Caenorhabditis elegans: one gene and its partner. The protein of the gene in region 2 interacts with the protein of the main gene of each other region in a pairwise test. Each region holds a gene or a part of one and is shown on either strand. Other genes may lie near its edges.

Region 1 (7,151 bases), 1.9 Mb from region 2:
AAAACTACCACCTATTAATTTTCAATTTTTTTTGCCGATTAACAAATTAGCTTGTTTGCAAATTTACAAGTTTGCTACCACAAAATAATTTGAGATGAATTGCCAGTTTACAATTAAAACCACAATCAAATAAAAGTTATTAACCTTGTTTTCAAAAATTTAAACCGCTAGAAAAATGTTGGTAAATTTGTTTAAAAGTTTTATTTCAAAATGTGTTAATTAAAATTTTGGCAAATTTAAGAAATGTAAAGCATTTCCACAGTTTCAGACCGCTACAAAGTAAAAAATTGTTAAAAGCTTTTTTGGTCAATTTTTTAAATTATAATTGGCAAAAAAACTCCAATTTTGAATTTATGATAAATTTAAAATTTTAACAACAAAAATGTGAAGAATTTCGGATACTCTAAAAAATATTTATAAAAACCTTCAATAATGTCATGTTTCATTTCACATCCGGAAATCGCGTTGTACAAAAATTGAAACCTGAAAAATTGTAACAATTAAAAAAATCTGAAATATGCCCACTTGAAAATTCATTTACAGTTATCACATATGGCAATTGGAATTGAAAATAATATTCTGAAACAACGCAGCGTTGTGAAGTGGAGCAAAAGACAATTGAAGAAGAGATGAATGGAAAGTGTGAGTTAAGGACAATTATTTGATAAAATTACAAACTTGAATGAAAAGAAAAAGAACCAAAGAAAAAATGAGAAATATATCTGAAACCGTGATCAACCGTTCAATTTATCAAAAACGGCGGATGGCAAATCAGTAAACATATCTAAACACAGGGCTAGTGATAGAAATGACGAAAGAGATTTTCACTTGCTTTGTCCAGAAAAAAAATGGATTGCTGCAAAGAAGACAAGAAAACAACAATTGTTAAGAATGAGCTTATAAGAATATTGCATTGAAATTTTGAACAAGTAGTTTACTTGGGAAGAGGACCGGTCAAAAACAGCTTCTCCGTTGGCGACGAGAAAATTGGGCTGGTTGTGTAGTGATTGATAAGAGCATTCATGTCCACAAACGTTCGGTTTCCAATTTTCAGGAGACCATCCACGTTTTGCACTTTGAAATGCTTGTTGCGTTCGATTCCGCGCATTGAGATCGACAAGTCTCCAGGCTGAAAAAAATTGAATTTAATATTAAATGGTTGAAAATATCCATTTTTGGTATTGTCTTCCTAGCAATATTCAAATGGGATACTGTCAATGAAGATTGATTTTAATTTAGATTGTATTCTGATCAGAATGAAAGCGTATTAACTGTAATATATAGTTTGGAGTGAAAATGTTCAAATCAAACGCTAGAACGTTTTTTTTTCCTTTGCGGTCCTTGATTTTGGTAATTAATTTCGTAGTATCTCGGTCATTTGCTGCCATTTTTAAACTAATTGTAGCCTCTTGCCAGCCTTCATTCTTTTGGATTTTTTTTGCACTAAGTTTAAAATAAAACTAAATTTAACAACTTCTTAAACAACTTGAATCTCCTTATTCGTCGATTTTAGTTTTAAAACCAATATTAGCAACTTTGTGACTATACTTCACCAACTTTGGCAACTGTTTGAACAACTTTAGTATCCCACAACTTCTCAACCAACTTTTGCAACTTCTGAAATTGGCATTTCTAAAGTTGCTAGGAATGGTTGAAAGCTTGCGACTATTTGGAAAGACACCGTTTGAAAAATTCCAAAAAATGCTCACATTGCTCTCCGAATCTCTGACCAGAAACTCTCCCTCACGACCATGTAGTAGAAGATCTTCAGCACGTTCCCTCGAGATGCGTCCAAAATACCACGGCTGTTGCTCCATCGGAATTTCTCCGTTTCCTGAATATTGCGGTGCGAAATCTTGATGTGAAGCTTTGCTGGATGATGAGTCGTTGACCACCTGAAATGTTCTAATTGTTTCAGATTCGGGCAATTTTTCTCGGAATTTTTAGGCGATTAAATGCACTACCTCAATGTAATTTCTTGGCACAAGCCCTGTGGTTCCACTGGCGTTGCGCGCCATCCACCAATCGGGGTCATGTTCTGGATGATCCACGATTTCGAGCCGTTCTCCTTTTTTGAACGATAGTTCTTCAGATGATGATGCGTCGAACGAGTACAATGCAACGACGACCTGAATCTATGAAAATGATTATTAAATTGCATTGGGGTAAATCCTACTTCAAATGAAGACCGTGACGCCTGGAGCTTCGGCGGTGGTGCTTGCATCATTATGGGCGCTGGAACTGCTGCAGCTGCTGGGTTTCGGTTCTCAATGCTTCCCTGATTTCCGTTTGTCGAAGCTTCAACTTCCTCCACATAGTTTGACGGGAACCATCCGACTCCTCCATTCGGTGCTTCTCCCTTCCACCACCCATCTGTGCTTTTCTCGACGACATAAACGAAATCTCCTTTTGTGAGACCGAGCTCATCTTCAAGTCTTGGCTCGTAAGTGAATTTCACCACAGCTTTCGTTTTCGAGCTCATCATAGGAATCTGAAGAAAAAAACGTTGGCGGATTAAAATAAGTTATGATTGAAAAGCCTGTCAAACCTTATTGGATGATGGTGTCACCGCACAGTTGTTATTCAAGCTGAACGCTAGACGCGCGATGCCGTTTAATCGCTCCTCCTGAAAAATCAATTTCAACAACAAAAAAAGTACTAAAATTAGAGATTTTCGCTTAAATTGAGCTTTTTTTCAAAATTTTGAAGCGCCATAGAAATTTTAAAACCATTTTTCTCATTACGAAATTTGTTCATCTGGAGTCTAAAAAATTTCAATTTTCCAAAATTTCCAAAAAAATAAAATTTTCACTTTAAATAAATTGACTTTATAAAAAATGTAGAGTTCTAACACAAAAGAAATAGTGTATCGTTATGTGAAATCTCTTTTTTTTTTGGCTTACATTAGAAAATATACTATCCTAATCAAAAAGCCTCAAAATTCAAAAATAAAATTTTCACTTCAAATAAATTTATTTAAAAAAAATGTAGGGCTCTAACACAAGTATTAAGTTCGGCAAGTTAGAGGGACGACGCAGATGTTTATTGCAAGGAGGTCTTATGGCACGAGAAAAATCGATAAGGAAGTGCTCTTCCCGCCTAGAAAGCTCACAGTTTAATTAGAAACGTGATCTTAAACGGCGAAAAAAAAAACAAATTTGATGAAGCCGGAAATTCCAAGTTTTTTTTTGGAGGCGCTACGTGGCCAGTAGCAGCAGCACAGACTCAACCCGCTACCTTCAGTCAGAAATGCAAACAAAGTGAGCGGTTGAGCTCGTAGGCAATGTGCATGCAGCGCCCCACACATCGAAACACGATTTTGGTTAGGGGGTGAAGAGCGGGAGGGGCCCTCAGGCGATTGAAACGTATCGTCAAGACGGAAAAACATAGGAAGCGTTGAAATTTCGCGCGCTCTTGTATACCGAGACTGTCTCATTTGCGCCGAATACATTGTCGCGGGAGAGCCGTATGTATGTGTGTGTGTGTGATAACAGGGCAATGATAGTATGCGCCGCTTGCACACACATGCAAATATTAACGGTTTCGGTCATTTATTACGGAGTTTTTGCCTCACAAAGTTCAGCATATTTCGATTCGAAAATATGATTCGAAAAATTGAGCGTGCCGTTTTGATATTGAGAAGAAGAAAAGCAAAAAAAGTATTTTATGTGGAGGAAGGAAAACGCAAAAAACAGACGAACCTGTCAAAACGGCGAGGAGAACGGGAGAACGCGCGGCGAGGTCTTTTTGGACGGTCTCGAGCAATCAATAATCCTGGGAAAACAGGGGAAGAAGAGTTTGTTAGTTCAGACGATGCGCAGTATCTTACGCGCAAAACACTCAATTAGTTATTGTGGTGATGACAAAATCATTTTTTACTAGAATTTGGGCTATTATATCAATTTTTAATGGAAGCTACAATATTTAAAATAATTAACTTTAAATTTGTAAATGCTATTAGTTAGTTTCATAAAAATTGCAATAAAAAAACCGACAACGAGAAATATTCCTGCCCCAATATGACAAATCATTCTAGAAACTTTTATGGCATTACAAACGGAGCAAAAAATCGATTTTGTTTGCTGTATGATAAGGAAACAAAACTGGAATGTTCTGGGAAGAAAGTTAGTATATCAAAACTAGTTTTAATGTACCTTAAAATTAAAAGAAATAAAGTATCTGTTGGCAATTCTAATTAGAAGTTAATTCAAACTGTTGCTTTCGGCTGGAAGCGCTTGTGTAAATACAAATCTTCCACGTGAAGACTGGTTTTGGCATTTGGAAACAAAAAAAAACTGAGAGTGCGACATTACAGTCGATTATGTTTCGTTTAGTTGTGGCGGCAGTTTGGCGCTTTTTTTGGAAGTGAGATGGGTTTTTGTAACAAAAAAAAACAAAACGAAACACTCACCGGCTCCGGATCTGAGGATCGGTTGCGACCTCGCGCTAAGCCCTTGATTGTTCCTTTTGCTTTGTCCACAATTGATTCTTTTCGCACGTAGTTTGAAGGCACAAATCCAACACTGTTTGAATCGTTCATTACCTGAAGAAAACGGTTTTGATCCGAGGGAAAACAACGTTAAGTGGCTCAATTTATTTTTAAAAAAATTAAGGTTTGTAGAACACTTTTTGATTAGTAGTTTTGCTAATTGGTACCAGGATTTTTTTTTGAGATGTGGAGCAATGTCAGTGCAAGCTTTGTTTAAATGTTGCTAAAATGACCAACAATCATAATGAAACTCTTCAGAATTGTTTTTTGAAATATTTTAATGTGCAGTCAATGTGCAAAATATGGTCGACCAAAACGTTGACTGAAAATTTTGAAAAAATTATAAATTTTTCTGGATGTTTAATGAAAAGAGAAAATTGTAAATTTATATATGATGCTAAAATAACCAAATATTATAGAAAACTGTTCAAAAAATTTTGGAACATTTTTATTTCGAGTCAAAAAGTGGTGAGAACTTACTAATATGTAGATTTCCCCAAAAAGTCGTTGATTAAAATAAATTTCTCTTATTTTAATGTTCTAATTATGCTTAAAACATTAAAATTTCAATATAGCAGGGAATTGAACATGCGACAGTGTTTTAGAGTTCTCGAAAAGTGGATCAAACTGTTTTCACATTTAACCATTAGTTTCAGTATGTTTTCCGTCAATAAAAACTCACTTTCCACCAGTTTTTGCTATCATCTAACAGCTTTAACCGTTCGTTCTTTTTTATCGTCAACTCCTGTTCCTCTTGTGCTAAATAATCGTATTTGACGACCACATAGTCCTCCGACATTTCAAATGTCCGATGTAATACACCCTGTAAAGTGGTTTGGTGAGAAAAATTGCGAATCCATAGCAAAAAACCGAGGAGAACAAGTGGGAAAATGAAATGAATAGGGGATGGATACGCAACTCGTAATTGACGTCGTCTATTCTACCTCCTCACTACACCTACACCTGATAAAATCAACATTAGTGAGCGGAAAAAAGAAAAAGAAGGCGCACTGACGACGTACGCCACATTTTTCTAGGATATATCGGTCAATGTCAATCTGTTCAGAAGTCAGTTAGGCTGTTGGATGTTGGTAGGTCAAAGCGTGTCATGAACGGGTTCCGGAAAGTTTTTTTATTGATTCGAAAGTTATGAAAAATATTAAACTTATAGTTAGTATCAAAAATCTTTTTTTTTTCAGATTAGCACACAGCCGTATCAAGTATGACAAAAAAAGAAGAATGAAAAAGGTGAGATGTGAATAATAAGTAGCATAACGCGGGCAGCATTGCCTATTCAATAATACTATTTTATGGAGTTAGCAAACACATGAATATAGTCATAAAAAGTTGGCGAGGTAAGCAGGATTTTGTTAGAAGGCGTCAAGCGAGAAAATAACTGCAGTAGTTGGGCAGATGTACTTATGAGTCAGGATGCCTTTGAATTTTTCAGCAAGACGGGTGCACTTTCGAATGGCTCAATGGGAAAATGGAAATAATTCAGATGCCTGGCTTTGGCATATAATTACTTCCAGCCAAAGTACCAATAGGAAACCCCACATTTCCTCTGAAAGTGCAAAATCAGGTTTCAGGCAAATTTTATTTGCGCCTGTAAGCATTTCCAAATGGGGAAAATCACGCAAATGGGGAAAGTTTTAGTTAGGATTGTAAGGCCTTTATTGAAAATATATTGATACTTCTGGATTTAATGTTACCCCCAAAAGTGCTAAAGTTAAGTTGTTATATATTTTTCAGACCTCTTTTTCCTACAAATCTAGAATAACTTTTTTCAAGCTCTGGAAATATGATGAAAGTTTTAATTTGAAATTAATTTTTTTAGGGTCTCCTACAAACTTATATACTTATATACCGTTTTTAATTTAAATTTTGATTTTTTGATACTTGGTTGAATTATATTATAAAAGAAAATGCCTTATAATATACCTGCTTGTCGAAAAAGAATACCCATCGTAGTTCAATATGGCCTAGAATTTTTAGAATTTTTAAAATTTCAGTCAACACATTAAACTGCCACACTTAGAAAAAGAACAACAGGAGCGTTTGAATACATTTCTTACTGACGAGACTCCAAATTGTATTAAATTCCACAATTAAGTAATTTTAGAAATACAGATTTTCATATTAAAATTTTAATTTTTTGGAATTTTCCTTTTCAAACCAGAAACGTAATTGACTATGCTCCATTTTGCAAAAGAAGAAAAGAAGAAAAAAAGAAACAAAAAGCAGAGGAAAAACAACCGACAATTGTAGGCAACAATTGTTGGAAGAGCCCCATCGTTTTCTTCGTAGCACACACACACACACACACACACACACACACACACATTTTCGGACAGGACAAGAGTCAATGACAAATGATGGGAATTTTCGGTTTTGAATGGGGGCCAACAGGGGCCGAAATAATGCATTGGAATGCGGAGAAAAGAGAGAAAAGATTGAAGACGGATTGCCAAAATAATGTGCGGAAAATTTGCGAATCTGGCTCAAATCTCAGACTGGAACGACGAGATGGTTTGTGGGGGGATAGATGAAGGATTTACTTGGGAATTGAAAATAACAACAAGATGATCCTTTAAGGGACACTTAGCAATCTGGTCATCGGAGAATAAATATCTAGGGGGGCCCCCCGTCACCAACCAGCGCG
Region 2 (6,538 bases):
GTGGCATTATAGCACTATGAAACATTTGTAAGCTCCTGAAACTTTCAATCACTATTATGGTGAAAAATATAGTTCCAGAATACTCACAGGGATTATTCACATATTCAACTTGTTATGTGACTTGATTTTTTAAGTTTTGCTAAAATATGTTGTGCGTGTTCTTGAAAACCTTTAAAATTATCAATAATCAGCCTGACAACATTATCAGCCTCTGGAGTAACTTTTGTGTCCTTTAGCACAGTTGCTCTCAACAAAGTTCAGATATACCTAAATTGTGGTGGTGGGAGTTGAGTTGTGCTGCTGCAATTACTAGAATAACTATTTCTAGAATAAAATATATAGTCTAAACATAATCATTCAAATGAACTATTTATCATTTCTAATTTTTGAGGTAAACTACCTTATACCATGTACCTGGTCAGGAATAATAATAAATAATTTTTCAAAAGAAAATAGTACAATTTCCTTGAACAAAATTTGACTATTTTGAAAACTTTTCTGATTCTATAAGTAAATTCATCTCTCTTTTATTAAACATGATCAATTGTTTCAAACGTCATGAGACAAAATTTAAGATTTTGACCTTATGGCCGATTTTTAAATTGGAAACCACATGAAAACAGAGTTTCAATAGTTCCCACCTACAGACACTTGAAAAAGAAATAGGGAAATTTGGGCAAAGCTGGTTAACTGTAGATTTCCGTTCGAACGACACAAATGCAAGAAACCGAATGAAAAGAAGACAAAGTGAAGACAAAAAACTTACATAAATAATTGAAGTGTGTCGTCTGATTGGGAACGCTCAACAACAAGAAAAAAGAGATAGTCCAAATTGTGCATTGCGAGAAGAGATAAAGAGGGGGAAGATGTGAAATAATGAAGGGGCTTGAATTTTTACTCGTGATCGATTCCAGAAAACATTACACAAATTACTAAGGTGTGACTTTTTTGTTGGGAAACGGTAAGTTGGGCTCAAAGTAGATAGTTAGAAATGACTTGAGATGGAGAGAAAAGAAAACAGTTTCAAAGTAAGTACGACTTGAGATTTGAGAAGAACAAGAAATACACGTCGTGTATTGAGAATACAATCATCATAATTATGAGTTGCTAGCTTCGGCGATGCTCTTCTTCGCCGCAACGATTAAGTAGTACAGTGAAGCAAGCGGTTTGGCGCATCGGAGGAATGGATGCGTAAGGAGTTGGCTTGCCGACCATCGATTTTCAACTTGTACTTCCAACGCAGAGTCGACAAAGTCCTGGAAATTGGGACAGAATGGGAGAAATTGATACTGTACTGAAAGTAAAGTAAAACTGCGGTAGCAGTTGAGTCATCTTTTGTACATTTGTGACTAACTGTTAACAAATATTTTTTTTATCAAATCTTCTGTTTCGAAAGTTCTCGAGTTCTCTTACCTTGAACAACAAAGTCATGGAATCTCTTCCAGGGAAGTCGGGTTTGCCATTTGTAGCAATGAGATAGATAGCCTGAAAAAAAATATTTTTAAGATCAATATTGATTGATGAGAAATTTTAAGCTAAAATTATAAAACCTAAGTATAGCTGAAACAACTTTAACTTTAACTTTCTCGTCATTTTACAGCAACTTCTCAACAACGTCTCAATCTTCTCAACTTAAGCGATTTTTCAACAAAGTTTACCCAGCTTTCGGTAGTTCTCAATGCACATCTGTATCTTGCGGTGGGGGTCATCCCTAACTTTTACCAACTTTACCCAACTATTGCAACTTTTGAGATTGGTTGCTAAAGTTAGCTGAGAAGTTACGGAAAAATGTAAAGTTTCTGCTAAATTTTTTCTTAGGCGCCTGTTCAATAACATGACCTCAACCTGAACCAAATTATTTTCTGATCGTTATGGGCAAAACTGGGGTTGCTATTCTTACTAGGGAATAGTGGCCAATTAGATTTTTTTGAAATTCATTAAGCAACAAATTTATCGCTGTAACAACAAATTTCCATTTCTCATTCACACTCTGCGAGCACAAGTGTTATTGAAAGGAATCATATATTCAGATTCATGTTTTTTTTTTCAATTATCAAGCGTTGTCTTCTTAAATTCAAAAAAGCAAATATTTCATACCCTGAGTGGATTTTCATTCAAATATGGCGGTTCTCCTTCGACCATCTCAATCGCCATGATTCCCAAGGACCACACATCAACCTTGGGTCCGTATTGTTTGCGGGTCACCACTTCCGGCGCCATCTGCAATTGTCAAACATTAATTTCCTATTCGCTTTTTCAATTTCCATCACTCACCCAGTATGGAGTTCCGACCATTGTCGTGCGTTTTCTTTGCTCCGGCGAGAGCTGAGCACAGAATCCAAAGTCGGCTGAAATTCACAGAAGTAGGTTGCAAAAGCATTAAAAATTATAATCTTACTCAATTTCACCGAACCATCCATTCCCAAAAGAATATTGTCAGATTTAATATCTCTGTGAATGACGTGGCGGCTGTGGAGGAATTCAAGCGCTTGAAGAACTTCTCTGCAAACAGCTGCAATAATTCCATCCTCCATCTGGCACTCCGTGACAACATCAGTCAATGATCCACCGGCAAGATACTCCATCACTACCCATAATTCATCGCACACCAAATACGAATCCAAATAATTTACAATATTTGCATGCTTATTCTCACGCATCACCAAAATCTCATTAATGATCAATTCCTTCTTTGGTTGATCCTTCAGGTTCATCTGCTTGATAGCCACCTCCGCTTCGGTACTAATTTCAATAGCGGTGTACACAGAACCAGATGCACCTGAGCCGATTTTATCAACTTTTCTATATTTTCGATCTGGATTTCCGATAGACACAATGGTACGGAGCTTAGTCAGCACTTCAGCGTCAGTCATCTTTTTCTTAGCTTTTTGACCTCTGGCCTGTACACCAAATTGTCCTTTTGAAAGGTCTGGAATTTTTTCTTCCTCCTCTTTCGGTTTTGTGTACTGAAAATATACTTATATGTTATAGAGAACTTGGGAAAAATTCGGTACTTGTGTATTACATGCCCTCATTTTGAAATTGAATTAAATTTTCATTCATTTCTCCATATAATTTAAACGTGATATACATTTTTCCTCTCCAGGCTTAGAAAGATTATTTCCTAAACCTAGAAATAAAAAATGTGGTACACGTTTTTATTGTTTTTAACTTAAAAAAATACTCTAAAACTAAGGGCATGTAATACACAAGTACCAAAAATTCTACTCACAATACTCAACGTCCTTGCCGGCCTATCAGGGATAGCGGGAGGAACAATATCAGCAGGAGTTTCACCATGGGGGACCGGTGGCGGTGCATAACTCTGAAGCAATCAATATGAACTTCAAGATTATTCTTCCCACTTACCGGTGGCATACTCGATCTATTCTCATTTACACTAAACGTCGTCGGAGGAACTCCTTGCTTGCTGTTATACCCCGCACTACTTGTACTGGTTGTCATTGGATTCATCTTTCTTGGATCCTGAATTTTATTGCCATGATACGGCAGGGATGATGTGCTATATGGTTGCGGTTTCAGTCCGTATGATGGCGTCCGAGAAGGTGCGTCATCTATAAACACTGTAGAAGAATGAGCTCCATTAGCAAGACTGACTACGGGTTACTTACTCATATCGTACTGCAACCACTTCTGGCCGCTGCTTTCGCCTTGTGTGTAGTATTTGAGCGCGTCCAACACTGCCTGAGGATTCTGTTGCTGCTCTTGTTTTGAGATCTGTGAGTCTGTGAGAAGACGTGCCCATGCTTCAGGCATTCCCTGAAAATTTATATTGTTGATAAGGAGCAAAAGTTTCTGAGAAAAGTTTATAAATAAGATTCTACAGTAGTTTCTCAAGTCTATTCGACAAAACAGACCTCTTCATACTAAAAAAATTGGGACAATTTCATAGGTCTTTAGAAGAAACTATCTTTGGTTGAATACATGTTCGTGATAATTGGCTTCACTTAAATTTTTCTCGTATGGATTTGTTTTCTTAAAACGTCTCAAAAACGCAAGCTTTATTAACACTAACCATGGTTTCAAGAATAACACGTTTTTAGAAGATAATGCACTGAATTAACGGTTGCAAAATATTATTATAAATTGAGATTTGTTTATAATGATTTTTTGACTGAGGGAAAAAGTAAAAGTAGTAGTTTTTAGTTTTTAGCTTACTATTAGCATTCACGTTAATCTGGTACGATTAGCGGTTGCGACCGGTGTCAGAATGACAGCTGTATCACTCGTTCATCATTGGAAAATAATCTTGCAAGTAACGCAAGAGTGGGAAAACTGCTACAAAAACTTTTTGAAAAAATACTGACCGTAAATTCGCCGGTTTTTGGGTCATATCCGACATGAATTGTGTGTTCGAAATTGCTCGGTCGAGAGATCACTGGTTTTTCTGACGCTTCCTTTTTGTCTTTGTTCTCTGAAAAAAACAGGAAAATCAGGAATGGTTACAAGAGCAATATATTACTTTTCATGAACGGGTTAGGCATCGTCTTCTTTTTCTTGGTTGCTTCTGGCTCTTTGGGCAATGGCTTCAATCCGACGACCTGAAAAATTGAGTTAGTCAAGACATGGAGAATGGAAAAAAGAGAAATAGAGATGGGTGGGAGAGGGGCAAGCAACACATGCATCATCTGATTTGGAAGAAGAACCTTCGAAAGATTGTCGCCCATCTTTGGGGAGGAGTGGAGGGACGAGTTAATTACCTGATTCTCCCTCGTTGCCGAGCTGCTGAAACGAATTGGTGGTGCTGGTGGTTTCTCATCATACGATGAGAAAGCTTTCATTTTGGCAAGCCTGGAAAATTGAAACTGTTGGAAAAAGAAGACACAAGCATCAAACCAAAAAAGAATGAAGGAATACAGTATGCAATGTAAAACTGAAAAAGGAAAACAATAATTAGGAGGAATTTTCGTTGTCAAGTGAAATCGAAACTGTTGGAAAAATAGGAAAATTGGAACCAATATTCATGTTTTGTTGAGTCAAAAAAACATAGAAAAACGATCACAATAAAGAATCAGAAAAAGAAAGAACAAATTGCTGACCGCCCCCTTATAAAAAAATTGTTGGACTATGACTAACAAAAGAGGAAATTGATAGGAGCGGGCAGGGAAATGGATGCACAACACATGGTGTAAAGAGGACATTGACCCAGTGCTATGAGTAATCTTGGACCGAAAAAGCATGGCCCTTTCGCCTTTCGAGGTCGTCTATTGGATTGCTTTTCTATATTTTTTTAGTAATCTCAGGGTAGGAGTTATGGAAAATGTGGGACCCAGAATTTGACCTTTTCTTCGGAGTTCTCATTTGCATTATTGCTTCAAAGAGCCTATCTGCAACCAACGTCTGACGTGAGTTTGACCCGAAAAAGATAGATGGCTTTTTGGTTTTCAAAACGAAAGATTTCAAAGTTTAGGAGATGATGGATGGTGAATAAACTGGGCCAGAGGAAGAAGAAGGAATATTTTTCAAAGGAGAAAAAGAAGAGACGGGAATCTTTTTTAAAGTGTGATGATATGAGTCATTCATGTTTCACTTCATTTTATCGCCCACCACCGTGTGTTCGCGTACTTGTTTCCCGCTTGTCATCCAAGTGGCAATCAGCCGGATAATGTTCTAGAAGTGTGAAGCCGAAAAGAGTAGAAACTGTGAAACGAGGTTCGGAGTGAGTGACAATGTTGAGAACTAGTTTAGGAAATTAGAAAGTGAAAGCCGAAAAAAAGCTGAAAAGTTTGCATTCATACTAACGGTGAATGATGATACTTTTGGTCTAATACTATTCTCGATTAAAGGAGGGGTATCGGTTTTGGGTTTTTACTTGTAAGCACTCAAAATGTTCATAAAGGAACAAATTTAATAATGAGACCTCATAAAAATCATAGGGGGTTGATTGTGGCCATTTTCAATTACGTATGGGCTTTAAATGTACATTCATTAACAAAATAATGTAAGAAAATCACCAATATGCAATAAAAACATTCTAATCTTCAAAATAAATTTTCCAACAGCTGAGACATGAAAAAATAGCCAATTTTAATTAAAATTAGGTGTTTTTAAAATTTCAGACCGCCATAAAAAATTGTTGAACATTTTTTGAGAATCCTCATTACATAATCTGTTAATTTGGGAATATTTACAATCTAGACCTGCAAAAACCCAAAGGAAAATCACAAAACCGAAAGAAAAAAAAAAAAGAAAAATGAGAAACAAAATCTAGGTATCTAAGATTTTATTACACTGTCGATAAGAAATCCAATCTCATTTTGCACAATGTAGAAAAAAAACAGTTCGAAACCTGGACTGTTTGCTAGAAATGGAGAATGGCACTGTGTTTGTTGAACGCGCGCCATTTTCTAGTGTTATCAATTGAATGGAGGAAACAGAGAAAGATAACTAGTACGGTGGGTCGCGGATGATGCGGCCAAGGCAATTGATAAAGAGCTGCGGAGGGGCAAAACGGACGGATGAGGGGAGGATGTCGTTGGAGATAAAATCAATCGATAGCGGTCAAATGAAGAAGAAC

Evidence for each region. The genes of interacting proteins can lie anywhere in the genome.
Region 1: the proteins of pak-1 (region 2) and nck-1 interact in a two-hybrid assay, tested with the Caenorhabditis elegans proteins (2 studies listed by BioGRID).

Annotation. Positions count from the first base shown.
Region 1 is NC_003284.9:4,148,132-4,155,282, forward strand, and holds nck-1 (NCK (Non-Catalytic region of tyrosine Kinase) adaptor protein family), read right to left. Parts: upstream 5,313-7,151; 5' UTR 5,289-5,312; coding exon 5,172-5,288; intron 4,544-5,171; coding exon 4,412-4,543; intron 2,627-4,411; coding exon 2,549-2,626; intron 2,492-2,548; coding exon 2,177-2,491; intron 2,136-2,176; coding exon 1,965-2,135; intron 1,896-1,964; coding exon 1,710-1,895; intron 1,130-1,709; coding exon 935-1,129; 3' UTR 522-934; downstream 1-521.
Region 2 is NC_003284.9:6,043,797-6,050,334, forward strand, and holds pak-1 (Serine/threonine-protein kinase pak-1), read right to left. Parts: upstream 4,809-6,538; 5' UTR 4,803-4,808; coding exon 4,722-4,802; intron 4,563-4,721; coding exon 4,484-4,562; intron 4,436-4,483; coding exon 4,329-4,435; intron 3,781-4,328; coding exon 3,633-3,780; intron 3,585-3,632; coding exon 3,370-3,584; intron 3,326-3,369; coding exon 3,233-3,325; exon of another isoform or gene 3,084-3,232; intron 2,967-3,083; coding exon 2,399-2,966; intron 2,349-2,398; coding exon 2,275-2,348; intron 2,221-2,274; coding exon 2,098-2,220; intron 1,486-2,097; coding exon 1,414-1,485; intron 1,257-1,413; coding exon 1,098-1,256; 3' UTR 513-1,097; downstream 1-512. UniProt on the Caenorhabditis elegans protein: Required for hypodermal cell fusion, together with cdc-42 and ced-10, leading to embryonic body elongation, which involves dramatic cytoskeletal reorganization.